Linked DNA regions of Nothobranchius furzeri. The main gene of each other region encodes a partner of the protein of the gene in region 2 in a complex. Links are inferred from orthologs where the notes say so. Each region holds a gene or a part of one and is shown on either strand. Other genes may lie near its edges.

Evidence for each region.
Region 1: the proteins of bcar1 (region 2) and sh2d3ca are in contact, whole or in part, in a crystal structure (PDB 3T6G), measured with the Homo sapiens proteins. The link is inferred for Nothobranchius furzeri from reciprocal best matches to the Homo sapiens genes BCAR1 and SH2D3C. Residues at the interface, in NP_055382.2 of Homo sapiens: Ser739, Gln742, Phe746, Tyr747, Gln750, Asn754, Val779, Ser782, Lys783, Ile786, Leu787, His790, Val793, Phe794, Ile795, Asp797, Thr798, Arg801, Gln802, Ser816, Asn817, Cys820, Leu823, Arg824, Val827, Lys831; in NP_733745.1 of Homo sapiens: Thr543, Val544, Pro545, Val547, Gly616, Val617, Arg618, Glu622, Thr625, Leu626, Pro627, His628, Leu749, Leu752, Leu753, His771, Gly772, Val773, Glu774, Val776, Leu777, Leu780, Glu781, Ala783, Arg784, Ala787, His788.

Annotation. Positions count from the first base shown.
Region 1 is NC_091746.1:49,559,191-49,566,855, reverse strand, and holds part of sh2d3ca (SH2 domain-containing protein 3C), read left to right. Parts: intron 1-1,763; coding exon 1,764-2,039; intron 2,040-2,135; coding exon 2,136-2,547; intron 2,548-7,665. UniProt on the Homo sapiens protein: Acts as an adapter protein that mediates cell signaling pathways involved in cellular functions such as cell adhesion and migration, tissue organization, and the regulation of the immune response.
Region 2 is NC_091754.1:40,232,868-40,241,057, reverse strand, and holds the start of bcar1 (breast cancer anti-estrogen resistance protein 1), read right to left. Parts: upstream 5,467-8,190; 5' UTR 4,865-5,466; coding exon 4,853-4,864; intron 1-4,852. UniProt on the Homo sapiens protein: Docking protein which plays a central coordinating role for tyrosine kinase-based signaling related to cell adhesion. Implicated in induction of cell migration and cell branching. Involved in the BCAR3-mediated inhibition of TGFB signaling.

The DNA.
Region 1 (7,665 bases), on a different chromosome or scaffold from region 2:
AGGCACTTCACATAGTAAACATTCCAATACAGGTCAGTTCATTAAGCCAATCAGCAAAAAGTTTCCTACATAAGGAACCCAGCAAAATGCAACGAGTCATAACTCAGTATAAGCAGCCCACGACTCACTGGGGATTAAGAAGACAGAGCACACACACACACACACGCACGCACACACACACACACACACCAAGCCAGTGATTTTCAGGGTTTTAAATCATTTATCTTTTATCTGTCAGTGTGCCCCAGGGCAGCTGTGGCTACATTGCAGCTCATCACCATCAGGGTGTGTGAATGGATGAATGATGCACTGTAGTGTAAAGTGCTTTGGAGTCCTCTGACCCTGAAAGGCACGGCAAGTGTGAGTCATTTATCGTTTATTTTGTTGGTCTAAAGCTGAAACATTTGGGAACTGTAGGTGATCAGCTGGAGGATGGAGCCTCTCTCAGGTGGTCTTTCAAATATTTTCTGATTGTATTCCAACTTTATCCTATAAAAGACACAACTTTACAATCCATTTGCTAAAGTTGGGTTTTAAGTCGTCACACTTTCGGTCTTCTAGTTGTCCACTTCTCTCACATTTAAACTCAAACTGATTTGTGATGTCACTGCTGGTTACAAAGACAGAAAAATGAGAGAAAAAGCAGCAAAAGTTTAAAGAAAATCTTCAGAAAGTCTGGGGATCAATAACTTTTTTTTAACAATTTAGAGCTGTCTTACTGCACTGGCATAAGGAACACACTTCAACCAGACCAGAATGTGTGAGATTATGCATGAAACAAAAATGTTAATTAGAGTTGAATAAAATAATCAAACGTCTGCAGAGAATAGAGCTTCATTCACTAAAACTGGACAACTATGAATTGGAAAATTACTCAGATGAATTATTCAGCAGGCAGAAGTTCCAGCAAATGGTTTTACTATTAGGTAAGTAAGCACTGAACACTGTGGGATGAATTATTTAGGGAATGCATTCATTAAACTGCTGGATTGTTAATTCAGAGAGTCTGAGGCCTAGTCCACACGTAGCCGGGATTTTAAAAAAATGAATATCCGCCCCTCCAAAAACTTGCATCCACACCACCTCGTTTAAAAAAAAACTCTGTCCACACGTACCCGGATAAATACGTTGTTAAGGACATGCCAGACCTGTAGGCGGCAGTACTTCCCCCGTTCTTAACCTCGTCCTTCGTCTGTGGTCTTCCGCAAGGAGCAGTAATTCCGCTTGCAAAAACAAACAAGCAAAAAGCGCTTGGACAATTGATAAAGCGAGCGCAGCTCTGAGGGCATCCATGCTGTCGGCTAGTGTAAACACAGGTCACACATCTGATGTCAGCATTTTTTGTCGCGGAAAGTGACGTTGTGGACCTTAAAACTCCGGTTTTGTCTGTCCACACGCAGACACCCAAAACGGAGAAAACGCAGATCTTCACTTTGGCCGGAGTTTTTAAAAAGATCAGTTTTCGTGTGAAAAAACTCCGTTTTTGTGTGGATGACAGGCCAAAACGTAGAAAAATATCTACGTTTTGGCAGAACCCCGTCTACGCGTGGACAGGGCCTGAAGCTCTGGGCTGGAGATGTCCAGTCAGATGGACATGATCTCCACCTCTCTGTGGTGCATCTCTCCTCTCTGCTTCTACTTTCATAAGGCTTAGACAGCTCTCCTTTAAGATGTCATATGCAATTATTATACCCCCCCAGCAAACTATGAGTTTGAAATTACACTTTTTGTCGCAACAAATTGACTTTCTCCTCCTCTTTAAGGCTTCAAATGGTTAGACAGCATCACCAGCATTTCCTTTCGCCGCTCCAGCAACAAATCTGACTCGAAGGCCTCCAAATCCAAATCAGGCTCAGGATGTGAGGCTGGGAAGGAGGGCGGATGTGAGGCAAACCTGACTTCAGTCACTGAGACAACACTGGACGACACTGACGCCATGCGTCCTCGCACTGCCAGCCACGTCCGTTCCAGTAAGGGCTACACACACATGGGGACGCTGCCTCGACTGCTTATGAAGAGGAAAGACAAGAGTAAGAAAGGTAGCAAAGCAGACAGTTTAACTGAGATTTGGGAAAATTATTGTTGATATTTTTTAGAAGCTGTCTCTGTCTGTCCCTGTCTCATTCTTGTCCCAGGATGCCCCAGCGGCAGTAAACAGAGTAACAAGAAGACCAATGATAGCAAAGGTCACTTCAAGGCTCCTGCAGGTGTCTTGTCTGATCCATCTGAGACTAAAGCAGTAGTCACACCTGACACAGAGCTCAACCAGACCCCTCCAGCTGATCCTGAGATCCGGTCTGAACCTGATGACGAGCTCACAAACCACCACATCCTCACTGCTGGTGGAGAGGTGCCATCTGGTGGCTCAAATAGAGAAATTCAGTCAGGCGGAGAAGAAGAGTTGAGGCCAGGATTCGCTTCTCTCAGGAAGGTGGAAGGGGAAGTGGAGAGTGATGGGGTAGAGTCCAAAACTGTGTCTGAACCGGAACAGGAAGCAGGGAAAGAAGAGCCGAACGACAGAAAAGGAAACTCTCATGGTGTCTACTGGTGAGTTTTGGTGTTTGATTTTACATACTCCTTCACATACGGTCTCAATCCACCCCTTCTCAGTCATCTATACAAACATCAACAGAACCGTAAATCACAATGCTCCTCTTCAGTACATCTTTTTGTAATATCAGGCATCTAGTTCCTTAAAAATATTTGAAACAAAAAAATGTATGAAGAGTTTTGTGATTATATGCTTCTTTGTCTTTGATTTAATCATTTCATTTGATAAACCAGAATCTACACATTTTATTTCGTATTTAAAATCCAGAAGTTCCAAGGTTGCAGCTTTGTGAAGATAAATTAAATCAGTTACATTTTATTTGGACTGAAAACAATTTTCAAAATGATCAGAATTAAAACAGAACTCCACTGAAGAAAGACTACAGAGCTTTTTCTGAAACATAAAAAATAAACATCAAATATGTTTGTGCAACAAAGAGACAGATGTATTAGATGTCTTCAGATGCAGAGTCTCCACTGGATGTTATGATTCGCTCTGTGGTATTAGATTGGGGTTCTGATCAAGTTTTTTTTTTCATTGACCTGTGCTGGATAAGTATCATGATTCTGTTCTCCTGATTTCTATTGTTGACCTGCTTTCTAAGGTTTCACATCAGCCACACTGTAAGATAACTTTCAGGTACTGTATTTTCCGGACTATAAACCGCTACTTTTTTCCCACGCTTTGAACCATGCGGTTTATAATGAGTTGCGGCTTTAGTCAACCAGAAAGGATGGATGCTGGAAAGTCTAATGAAGGAATGGTTAAAGGAGTGTTACGGAAAGCGCCCAGGAGGATTTTTTCACAGTAAAACGACGCTGCTTGTTTTCCCAGCTTCACCCCGGGATGATGACCGCAACACGGACATCGCCACAGAAAAGGCTGTTCAACTCCGACACCGAAGAAAATGACTTCAGTGGTTTCAGTGCGCAGGAGGATGATGAATAAACTAATCAATAACTTTTCTGTTATGTTTGATACTGATCAGTTCAGTTATGTTCAGTTAAACTACCTTTTCAATTCAGTAGATATCTGCGGCTTTTAGCCCGGTACGGCTTATATTGTGGTGCGCTAAATAGTCCGGAAATTACGGTACTTCAGAATAAAAAAAAAGAAATACAAATTATCATAAGTCTCTGGGTTAGTTTTACTTTTATTCCACTTGATCATGGAGAAAATACTGTTTTAACATGAGTAAGATGTCAACTTGTCAGTTAAGACTGGTCAGAACACTGCAGAGATGCCCTCAGATGCTGTAGAAGTCATAAACACTGTTCCAAACGTTGTTTATAAACACAGTCCGCTTTTTTGTGTCACTCCTGTTTGCACACAAAACAGAAAACCAAACTATTGTCCTAATAGACTGACTTTTTAAATGCATGTAAACGCGTTAATTCTCACTGAATGCCACTTGGTTCTAATCTTGCTGAACCACTCAGGTAATGTGGAAGGAAACCAACTTCATCTGCATGTAAACAGCTCAGTCGAGGGGATACCGGTAACAGTAAAGTGAGCTGGGCTGCAGCTTTGTTGGTGTCCATTCCTCCTTGTTGTGCATATCCTGTTTTAACTTTGTCTGCTTCACTTTGTCAGTGTTTGTTTACGTTTTGTGTTGCTATAAGCTAACTGGAGGAGTGTCAACACAAAAGGATGCACGTCGCCACCTAACGTACCTGAAGGAAACAAACTTCATTTGAGAGTTTGGTTTTATAACGTACATGTAAACTAGAATAGAAAATCCCAGTTTATTATCTTGGATTGACCCAGATCGATTTAGATGTGCACGTAAATGCAGTTTAGAGTGTTTAATAAAGAGACAGTTCAGCTAAAAGCTCCAAAAACACTGATTGTTGTCTCCTAGTGTCTCCCTACACTGTGATCCTCAGGGGAGGATTAGGTGTACAGGCAGGGGCGTAGCACCAAATTCTGGGCCCTAGGTACAAGCCTTCTAGGTGGGCCCCCATGCTCAATTAATATCTCTCTTACACATTTTTTGTCATGCTATAAGACAAGATAATAAATATGATCTTAGTTTAACCTCTATATTGAGCAAATAAAAGTGAAATGCCCAGACTTCACATATAATTATTTTTATTTGCCAACAATGTGTTCAAACAAAAATCCTGGAATTTATTTTCCAGTAAATGCCCACTGACGGGTCTTCATGTTAGCAAAATCACTTATGAGATCTTTAAAGTCCAATTCTTTGGCTAATTGGCTTTCAATAGAAAGAAGAGCTAGGCTGTTCAGTCTATCCTGGGACATTGTTGATCTCAAATAATTTTTCACCAGTTTCAGTTTGCTAAAAGCCCGTTCACCCCCAGCAACAGTCACAGGTAGTGTGCAAAATATCCTCAGTCCAATACAAACTTCTCCAAAAATGCTCTGTAATTGCATCCTGTAGATGGCATTAAGCAGCACAAGAGGAGACTGAATATGTGGAAATGTGGCACCATATATTGTTCTCAGGTGTAGCATCTCATTCTCAAATTCAGCTGTGAGATCCTTGTAATGTTTTCTCATCAGTGCCTGGCATGATATCTTCATCTGCTCTTCAGTCATGTCTGTCATGGTTCATGATGTTAAGCTTTGCTAATACTGATATATATTGATATATTAAATACATATAACATGAAATAAACCAGGTTCTCTCTGTGAATGTAATGTACTCTAAATTTTATAATCCCTGCATTATCAGCCAAATTATAAGATTGTCCGTTTTCAATATCAAATATAAAGAAATTTAAAATAGGCTTAAAATATCTAACCAAGTCAATAACAATCGTCTAACACCAGTGTCATCATGCTATACAAAAAACAGTGGCAGCTTCACATTCCTGAGATTACCACGAATCCATCGATACCAAGTTTGTCCTGGTCCATGACTGGGAAGGAGCTGAAATATCCACACAGAGTGAACCTGTTTTTACTGCGAGGTCCGCGAATTAATTGGCGGCGGCCGCGTGTTTTCACTGATAACGCTAGTTAATTTATATTTGATCTTGATGGTGAAACTAAAGGCGTTTAACACTGAACACCTAACATGAATGCAGCTTGTGAGAGCTAGCTAATATCAGCTAAAACTGTGTTCTGCTGCTGCTGGCTGCTACTCACCGTCCTTCTTGAAAAACCTAGTCAATACTTGCTTCTGTTCAATTAACTTCTTCTCCTTCTTTTCTTTTCTTTTCTTTTCTTTTCTTTTCTTTTCTTTTCTTTTCTGGAAGCCAGATTTCCCTTTCTTGGGAAAAGACATGACTGACTCTCCTGCCTCCAGCTCTGGCTGTCGGCATCTGCGATGTCTCATTAGCTGTACATGCGGCCGTGCAGCCCCTGGCCGCTGGTGTGGACTAAACCACTTTGCACATTTTTAAGGGGTGATAGATGCCTCAGAGATTATTCAGTTATTATTTTTAAGGCAAAATTCTGTTTCTTAACCTCTTTATCCAGGTAAAGGGAAGTTTATTAAGACATTAAGTTGGGGGAAAAAACATCAACAATAAAACATTTTTATTCAAAGCTGTCTCAGGGCCCCTCCCTGCAGTGGGCCCTGGGTAAACGGTATCCGGTATTTGTACCCAAGTGGACAAAATCACCCTTGAGCTAGCATCATGAACCTCTGCCGCTCCAGCTAGCATAGCTCCGTTGCTCTCATCGTGAACGTCTTGCTTTTCTATAGCCTGCTGTTGGGTCCAGCAGCAGATTTAAAATATCCTGACAATTTTGGGATTTTCTGCTGAATATTTTTGTGCTTTTGTTCTTTGATTCTATACATTTTTCTTTTCTGAGTGCCGCTCTCATATTTCCTTTCTGACGTTTTTTTCATTTTCCCTCGTTAAGTGCAACAGCGTATGATACATGAATATGACGTGTTACGTGACACATTACTTAACTCAAGACCGCCACAATGTTTACCCAATCAGTGTCGCTTATGATTCTGTCAGCCAATACAGTTGAAGAATATTCTTGCATGTAAATTTAAATAAAATCATATATTTTTAGCTGGCTAATGGGGGCCCCAGAACACACGTGGGCCCCTGGGCTTAAGCCATATCAAGCCTGTGCATTAATCCAGGCCTGGTGATCCTGTACAGAAACTCACTGATTTTAATAACTTTAATGTACTTAAAGGATGCCGTCTGCAGAAAACAAATGAACCCATTGCTATGTTTCATGTCATAATGTTGCTCTGACTGAAGATGGCCAAAAGAAAGTTAACACGCTGGTAAAAGAGATACACCATACCAGCGTGGCTAATCTGAGCACGGGTTATAATCTGTAAAAAATGTAAAGTGAGTTCATGCTGACTTCCCTGTGAAAAGATCTGAGACGATGAGTGCAAAGTGAGAAGATAACTGCGTTCATTCTTCCACTTTTTAAGGCAGCGAGCAACATTGATTTCTTCTATTGATCAATGCTGCTGGAGAGATGCTGGCTGGTCGCTGGTTGGATGATTTCTCATTTAGCATCGATTTATTCTTGCGTGCTAAAGACCAGGGGAAATTAGCTCTCCGTGCTCTCATTGTGAGTGTTTCTTATTTGAGCAGCTGACTTATTAATAACATTAAAAGTTGGGGAGTTTAGGAGAGCGATGTAACCTCTGAGTGCCCCCCCCCCCCCCTTTTTTTTTGTTGAAGCAGAGTGTATTTGTCAGGTTTCCTGTGGCATGCCAAAGACTCTGAGATCTCAGATACATTTCTTCAGACTGCACCTATTATGTTTTATGCACATGAACTGTGTATGGGTGTGCACGTGTAAACGCAGGTTTGTTGGCATGTAAAGCCTTCCATGCATGAGTTTGAAGTATCAACCCATCAGTTTGGCTCAGAGATCGTGGGAAATAAAGCTCTGCATTGCATGTTGTATAGGGTTGCATCAAAGCACTCTCCCTCCTCTGTCAGTCCAACCCTAAATCATCCCTTCTGTCCATCTCTCAGTTCTCCTCACAGAGAAACTGCCTCAGTTGCTCTGGAAAACCCGTCCAAATGCTTGTCAAACATGATGCTATTTGTGGCTGGTGAAGTTTATTTCTTTTAATTTCCAATAAAACCCATAAAAACAAAACTCACATGTGTGTGTGCCAGATTTAGAAAATCGGAAAACATGTTTAAAAAAAT
Region 2 (8,190 bases):
TTAACGAGCACGACTTCAATCGTAATAAAAAAAAATCAAGTTATGTCCAAGATAAACGGAAGTCCGCGGCAGCGCAGAGATCGCCCCATACCCCCTTTATACCACCATTGCATAATGCTAGTAAAAAGGACATGATTGCACAACTGTACCGCCACAGTTATGGCCACTGACCACTTATAAACAACATAAAGCTCCCTGATGCCGCCACGGCGTTGCAGCAAATAATGGCATTGTTTTGTAAAAACGGCTTGGGAGTGCTTGATTGCAGGTGGGAGAGCGGGCCCAGCTGCCAGTTTGCCAATCACCGGGTCTGGCTATTTGAGGAACCAGAGTCTTAATAACAATACACAGGTCACCGGATGATAACTCGCTTTTGGTGCCACCAAGCTGAGAGTCACCTGCCACCTTTTTGAAATGACCTAAGAATCGTTCGACTTCCCTAACCTCTCTTTACTCTCCAGGTATTCCAACCATCACCAACAGATCAACGATAACCTCCCTGATCCACACTCAAACCCTGCAACCAGACCTTCCAGCGTTCCACCACTCATCCTGTCTGGAAATCTAGAACCAGCCTCGAGTGCCCCTTCCTGCACAAGCTCTACCTACAACCACTGCCTTGGACTGGACCTCTTCCCCTCTCGAGCTCAAGACCATCTACAGAACTGTAAGCCTTAGCAACATATTTCCTCAGCCCAGCGAGTCACTCTTCTGGAGCCAGAGCCTCAGCATTCCTCGCCCCAAGTCGGTGGCACTCCATAAGTTGTCCTTTAGTAAATGTTATTTGATTTATCTCGTGTTGTGACTGGTTCATCACGTCTTAGGTCAACAACCTTAAGCCCAACCTGACAGTGGTGTTCTGTTGCTGAATATGTGAGTGTTAGTTATGGCTTGAACTGGGGGGGGGGGGGGGGGGGGGGGACCAGAGAGAGAGAGACATAGAGACAGACAGACAGAGAGAGAGAGACAGACAGACAGACAGACAAAGAGAGACAGACAGAGAGAGAGAGAGAGAGAGAGAGAGAGAGAGAGAGAGAGAGAGGAGAGAGAGACTTTGACTTTTAAATTATTTAAATTTCTTTACAGATCAACAATCAGTGTTAATGACTGAAACTTGTTTTCCACTAATAAAACCAGGAAAACTGAGAAACCCAGTTTAGAAGTTGATCTTTAGGGAGCCCTGTCCATCCAGCAGACAGAGCACCTGCCCGATCCCCCACACCGCTCTAAAGGAGTCCAGGTTCCCAGTAAGTTCATAAAAAGCGTGTTCGATCTTCAAGCGAGCTTCCACCAGGCCCTTCAGGCTCCGCTCAGCATCAGTCCAGCTCTGTCCCAGCATCTGGTTTTTCCTGGTTTTCCAGATGGCTAGTTTTGCACATGCAAATAAAAAGTTAATTAACAATTTTGTCCGTTTTTTCTGACACTGTACTTGGGCCCGAAAACAAATAACGGAAGGGTAAAAGCCTCCCCCAGTGCACTAACCCACCGTTCTAAAACCCTGAACATCCCTGATAACCTAGAACATGCTACCACTAGATGCTCTAGGGTCTCTGTTTGGTTACAAAAAGGACATCCCTCCCCGGTGCTTGGATCAAAGTGGGCTCTGTGTCTGTTCGTAGCTAAAGCTCCATGTATGATCCTCCACTGGAGGTCTGCCATCCCTTTTTTCCACTGGAGACTTATACAAAGTCCTCCAGCTGCCCCCAGGGGCACGGTCCGCAGCAAACACCTGAGTCCACCTCAACTCCTTGACTCCTAACAAGGAGCGCCTATTGATAACCTTCACACAAGTGTGATAGATCTGTTTCTTCCCACAAGACTGGAAGGAGCCCAACACTGGAGAGTTCAGGTTCAGCAGTAATCCACTCTCCTCCTGCCATCCCTCACCAGCTGCTTTAACCTCCAGAGATGGAAAAACGTACTCACTGTCATCATCCCATTGGTCAGATAGAGTACAAGTCTCAACGAAGGCTCTCTGCGACACAGACAAGGACCTCCGTACCTCCTCCACCACTCTCTCCATCACTCTGGTGGACCTCACATCAACCCGCTCACCAAGGGTTCCAGCCGGGATCTTCAGTAAGTGGCCAAACTTTACAATCCCAGCATCGGTGAACTTCACTTTCAACGAAGACGAAGTTAAAATGCCAGCTTGAGAGAAGAAGTCATTGTCAAACAAGGGTTCTTGTAGCAACCATGTCCCTGGTCCCGTGTCAGGTGCTCGGGAAACCGCCAGCAGCTTAAAGGTGTCCAGCACTGATGAGTAGAACGGACTAATCCTTGTCAGATCCAACACCTTCCGATTCAACAGGAACAGGTGTTTGTTCAGCCCAAGCCCACCAACCTTCTGCAGCAGGAGATGAGCCAGGGGGAGCCAGCGGAGTCCGTCACCATAACAAAGCTTCTGAGCTGTCTGTAACCTGAAGGCTGCAGTTCTAGACACCACGTCTATTAGTCCTTGTCCTCCCTCTGACACGGGTAGGCAAAGAGCCGAAGCTCTGATCCAGTGGTGACCAGACCAGAAGAATTTCACCAACAGCTTCTGAACACCTTCCAGCAGACGGGGTGGTGGAACCAGTACAATCAGTCTCTGCCACAGAAACGAGGCGACGAGGTTGTTTGCTATCAGAACCCTGCCCCTGTAGGACAGCTGAGGGAGCAGCCATTTCCATTTAGACAACCGCGCCTCCACCTTCTCCAGCACCTTCTCCCAGTTCTGTTTCTGAAACCTTTCCCTACCCAAGTACATGCCTAGTGTTTTAATACCTCCCGTTCCCCACCTCAACCCTTCTGGCAGAGGCGGGACATCACCAAGGTCCCACCCCCCACTACACATGCCTCACTCTTGTCCCAGTTAACCTTAGCTGAGGATGCTTTCTCATGTAAACGTAAACTAGATCTGAGTTCTTGTACATCCTGCTGATCATGGATGAAAACATTCACATCATCTGCATAAGCAGACACAACTAAGGGAGGACTGGAGTCAGGTAAAGGTAGGTGTACACCTTTCAGCCTGTTCCTCAGCCGACACAGCAGCTGTTCAATGGCTAAAATATACAGTTGTCCTGAGATGGGACAACCTGTCTGATTCCTCTTAGAACTGGTGGGTTGGCTCAGGCCCCCCGCTACCTTCACCATACAGCTGACATGACATGACAGCATCTTAATCCCTTCCAGGAAGGACCCCCCAACACCAAAGGCCTGTAGCGTAGAGAACAGGATCTCATGATCAACCCTATCAAACGCCTTTTCCTGATCAATAGAAATGATACCTGCGTTTACATCATACATTTTACAAACATCAAACACATCTCTCATTAAAAATAAATTGTCCATTAATGACTTTCCTGGTATACAGAAGGACTGATCGTCTGGGATTAGACCTCTGATGAATCCCCGAAGTCTATTAGATAGGAACTTAGAAAAAATCTTATAGTCTGAACACAACAAGGAAACTGGTCCCCAGGTTTTTAGTTGGGTTAAGTCCCCTTTTTTCGGCAGCAGGGACAGAACGCCCCAACTACACGATGCAGGAAGTGCTCCTGTCTGAAGTGAGTCTCTAAAAACATCCATCAGGTCCTGTCCAATACTGCTCCAGAAGAATTTGTAGAAGTCAGCGGGTAAGCTGTTCATCCCCGCAGATTTACCTGCAGCCATCTGGGAGACTGCCGTTGTAAGTTCCTCCATGGTTATGTCTGCATTTAAGATTCCCTGGTCTACTGTGGTCAAGGAAGGAAGCCCCTGCAACAGCTCTCTGGCACAGTTCACATCACATGGGGCGGCCTTAAATAGGCTGGTATAGAATTCTACTGCATGCTTCCTCATCTCCACTGGGTCTGTGGATAACTGTCCATCTGACAGACGCAGGCCAGCCATTTGTTTTTTCTGGTTTGAAGTCTTTTCCAGGTTAAAAAAGAAGGATGTCAGAGCATCCATGTCCTGTATTGTGGTGAGACGAGCCCAGATCAAGGCGCCTTTGGCCCTCTCTTGCAGGAAATGCCCAAGCTGCTGTCTTTTTTTGGTCTAAGGTGTGCTGTTGTTGAGTAGTAGTCTAGCACCCTGATGTCCTTCTCTAGATCTGCCATAGTCTTTCTTATTTGGTTTGTAGACCCCCGCGTGTAATGTTGACAGAAAACTCTAATTTGTGCCTTCCCTTGTTCCCACCATTCACTGATGGTCTTAAAATCATTCTTTTGGACCGCAAAGCCTCCCAGAACAGCTTAAAAATGTTGCAAAAGGTAAGATCGTCTAATAACTTTATATTAAAGTGCCAGTAGGATTTTGTCGTCCCCAACAAAATGAAGCATCAGTTCAGTTAGAGAGGAGAGAGAGAGAGAGAGAGAGAGAGAGAGGGAGAGAGAGATCCTTAGGCAGTGTTTGTGAAACAGATCCTTTGGAATTTGATGGAAAATAACTCAACAAGCTCGAGCAAATGCCTTATTCCACACACACGCACACCTGCACACACACACAAACACACACACACGCACGCACACCTGCACACACACACACAGTGCTATCAGCTGCTCTGCTGAGCTGACTGGCCAGGTCTGCTGGAATGAAGCCACCAGACCCTGGCTGACATTGGCCTTCATGCAAACAGCCTCCCGGAAGGGGCGGGCTGCTCCTTTAAACCCGCTGGAGCTTCATGTAGGCCAAAGACAAAGAGTAACATGTCACCACCAGCACATATCACACACCGTGTTACAGTAATATGTGTGGGCTCACATGATAACATCTTAATTACTGTAGTGCTATGGAACCGGGCGGCCCGGGCCCAGGCTGTTACAACCATTAACATGGAACACCGGAGCAACGACTGGGAACACCAACATGCGTCTGACATACTTACAGGGATAGACATTTTGCTGCAGCTGTCCTATTGCGCCTTTTCCTGCCAGTTGCGTCTCTAGCGGGTTTTATGCACAGCTGCGCTGGCGTCAGCCGTTCGTGGATTCCATGGAAAAGACTCCTGGTAGGAAAGGAAAGCTCCCAGCGGGAGGAAGAGGTCGGGATTTGTCTCAGTCCAGCTGGACTGCTGCGTAAAAATGCGCCTCAGAGGCGCAGATCTGCAGCAGCGGTAATGCGATCGTCCGTATGACCCGCAGACTTGACGGTTCTCGGTCCTCCCTCAAGTCACTCTGCCTCGGACTCACCCCCCACGGACGCGCGGCTATAACAGCTGGAGCATGAAGCAGCTGCGGCTGGAGGCCGAGCGGAGCGGGTGGAGCACAGCTGGCTGCTACCGTCCGCCCACCACAGGCTGGATCCTGTCCGCTTAAAGGGCCCGAGCCCCCCTCCCATCCACCATCTTTGTGTGGTTTGGGGCTACTGAGAGACGGGAAGCTGATTAAGAAGTTCTGTCCTAGCATGTCCCCTTGACCCAGCTGGGGGTGGGAGAGAGGACTCTAGTGAAAATAACATCACTGTTGGACAGTGTCCTCCATCCCATGCATGAAGCTGGTGTGGAGCTGGAAGCTCCTTCAGTGCCAAACTGCTGCATCCTAGGTCCATCCTCCCAGCAGATGTTGGACTTTATAAACACCAGTGCTCCCAGCAAAACCAGTAAACAGTCTCTTGCATTCCTTCATTCCTGCTGCTTTTATGATTTCCTCCTTCCAATTATCCTCTGTCTGCTTCTTTTTCAGCACATCCTGAGCTCCTTCAAAGGAGTCTCCTACCATCTTTACGCAGATGACATCCAACTGTACATCTCCTTTAAGCCCCATGAGATGTCTAAGCTGCAGCTGTTACACACCTGCTTAGACTCTATCAAAACCTGGATGGCTGGGAGCTTTCTACAGCTGAATGAAGATAAGACTGAGATCCTCATCTGTGCCCCAAACAAGCTGGTTCCCAAAGTCAGAGACTCTCTTGGTCAGCTTGCTTCTCACACCAAACTCTCTGTCAGGAATCTTGGCATGACCTTTGACCCAGTTCTCACCCTGGATTCTCATGCCAGTTCTCTTTTTCGCTCTTCTTCTTCCATCTCAGGAACATTGCTAAGCTGAGTCCCATTCTGAACTTGAGACTTCTCCACACCTTCATCTCCTCACGCTTAGACTACTGTAACTCTCTTTTCACGTGTCTGAGCAGAACCTCCCTGAACCGTCTACAGGTGGTTCAGAATGCCTGTGCTCGGCTTCTGACCAAGTCCTCCAAACACACCCCCATCTCCCTGCTTCTCCTCCAGCTTCACTGGCTGCCAGTCAACTTCAGGGTTCATTTCAAGATCCTGGTTCTGGTCTATAGGGCCTTACATGGACAAGCACCATCTTACATTGGTGATCTTCTTAGTCCCTACACCCCCAGCAGGTCCCTGAGGTCCAGTGATCAAAGCCTACTGGTTGTGCAGCACCAGGCTAAAGACCAAAGGTGACAGATCATTTGCTGCTGCGGCCCCCAGACTCTGGACCTCTCTCCCCCTGAGATCAGTGGACTCAGTGGTCTCCTTTAAAAAGCAGCTGAAAACTCACCTGTCCAGGCTGGTTTTAATGTCACCTTCTGCTGAATCTTCACTAGTTTCTCTTCATGCTGGTGTTTGTCAGTTCTTTTTCATGTTCCTGTGATGACATTTTCTTTTTTATTCACATTTTTCTGAACTGTTTCCCATTTCTCCCATTTTTATTATATAACAATATATATTTAATTTTTTTTCATTTATTTTATTTTCTTGTGAAGTGCCTTGTAGTTTTTATCTAGAAAAGCTCGATACAAACTTTCTTCTTCCATCAAAGTTGGCTCCATCTTTAATCTCTCTGCTGGATTTCATTATTTTGAACGATGGTGTCAACAACGATGCCTCTTGTTGGGAGAAAAGACAAGTCCTTCCAACATCATTTGGTCGTCTTTCAACTGTAGAAAAGGGACCAAACACATTGATGGCGGTTACATCACTTACAGTTAGTATGATACATGCTATACAGCGAGAAAAACTTACCTGTGCTCTTCTCCCTGATGATGCTGCCCACAGACCATCTGCTCAGACTGGGATGACCTCTGTCCTGATGTCCCATGAACGACATAATGGAGAATCCTCCTCCCCTTCCTTCTAGGCCATCACCAATCACATGGACTCTTCCTCATCTGCCTCTCTGGACAGATGAGCCACTGGTGAACTCTGAACTTTAACCTACACAGTTGGTCTGACCACATCATTGGAAACACGTGTAACTGTGACCTGATAAAGTACGTCATTAAAAATGTATCGTTAAAGTTCTTGCCCACAAATCCACCTCCCGAATTTATTAAAGATGGTTTTGTATACGAAGAATGTATAAAGATCCCTTAAGTGAAATATCAATGTCTTTCATTACTTTATTGAACCTGTTGATGGAACACACCAAGTCATGTTTAAAGTGATTAGGTTTCCAGTCTTGATTCGGAAACGGGTAGAATGCCTTCTCCGGGTCAGGGATGAGGTCCTGCTCCAAGTGGAAGTTTAAGTATGTTTGGGTCTTGTTCACGAGTGAGGGAAAGCTGGAGCGTGAGATGGATAGGTGGATTGGTGCTGCATCTGCAGTGATGCAGGCGTTGTACCGGTCTGTCGTGGTGAAGAGAGAAGGCAAAGCTCTCGATTTACTGGTCCATCTACATTCCTACCCTCACCTGTGGTCACAAGCTTTGTGTGGCAGTGTGAGCGTCCTGTCAGTGTCCCAACTGATCATGCGCCCTGGCTACTTGGCCAAGGGGACATCCCTCTGGCTGACTGGTAAGTGCACGTGACTCTCACCCAGGAGTCTGGGGATCGAATCCCCCCCGTGACCCTCGTTTCTCCACCTTGTCACATTTGGGCAGTGACCGAAGAACGAGATCACGGATACGAGCGGCTGAAACGAGTTTTCTCTGCAGAATGGCTGGGATCTCCCTTAGAGATAGGGTGAGAAGCTCAGTCATCCGGGAGGGTGGAGAGGAGCCAGCTGCGATGGCTCAGGCATCTGGTCAGGATGCCTCCTGGACGCCTCCCTGGTGAGGTTTTCCAGGAACGTCCAACCGGGAGGAGACCTAAAGGTAGACCCAGGGCATGCTGGAGGGACTATGTCTCTCACCTGACCAGGGAACGCCTTGGGATTCCCCGGAAGAGCTGGCCCAAGTGGCTGGGGAGAGGGAAGTCTGGGCCTCTCGACGTAGGCTGCGGCCCCCGCGACTCGACTCCAGATAAGCGGAAGAAAAATGGATGGATGGAGTCTA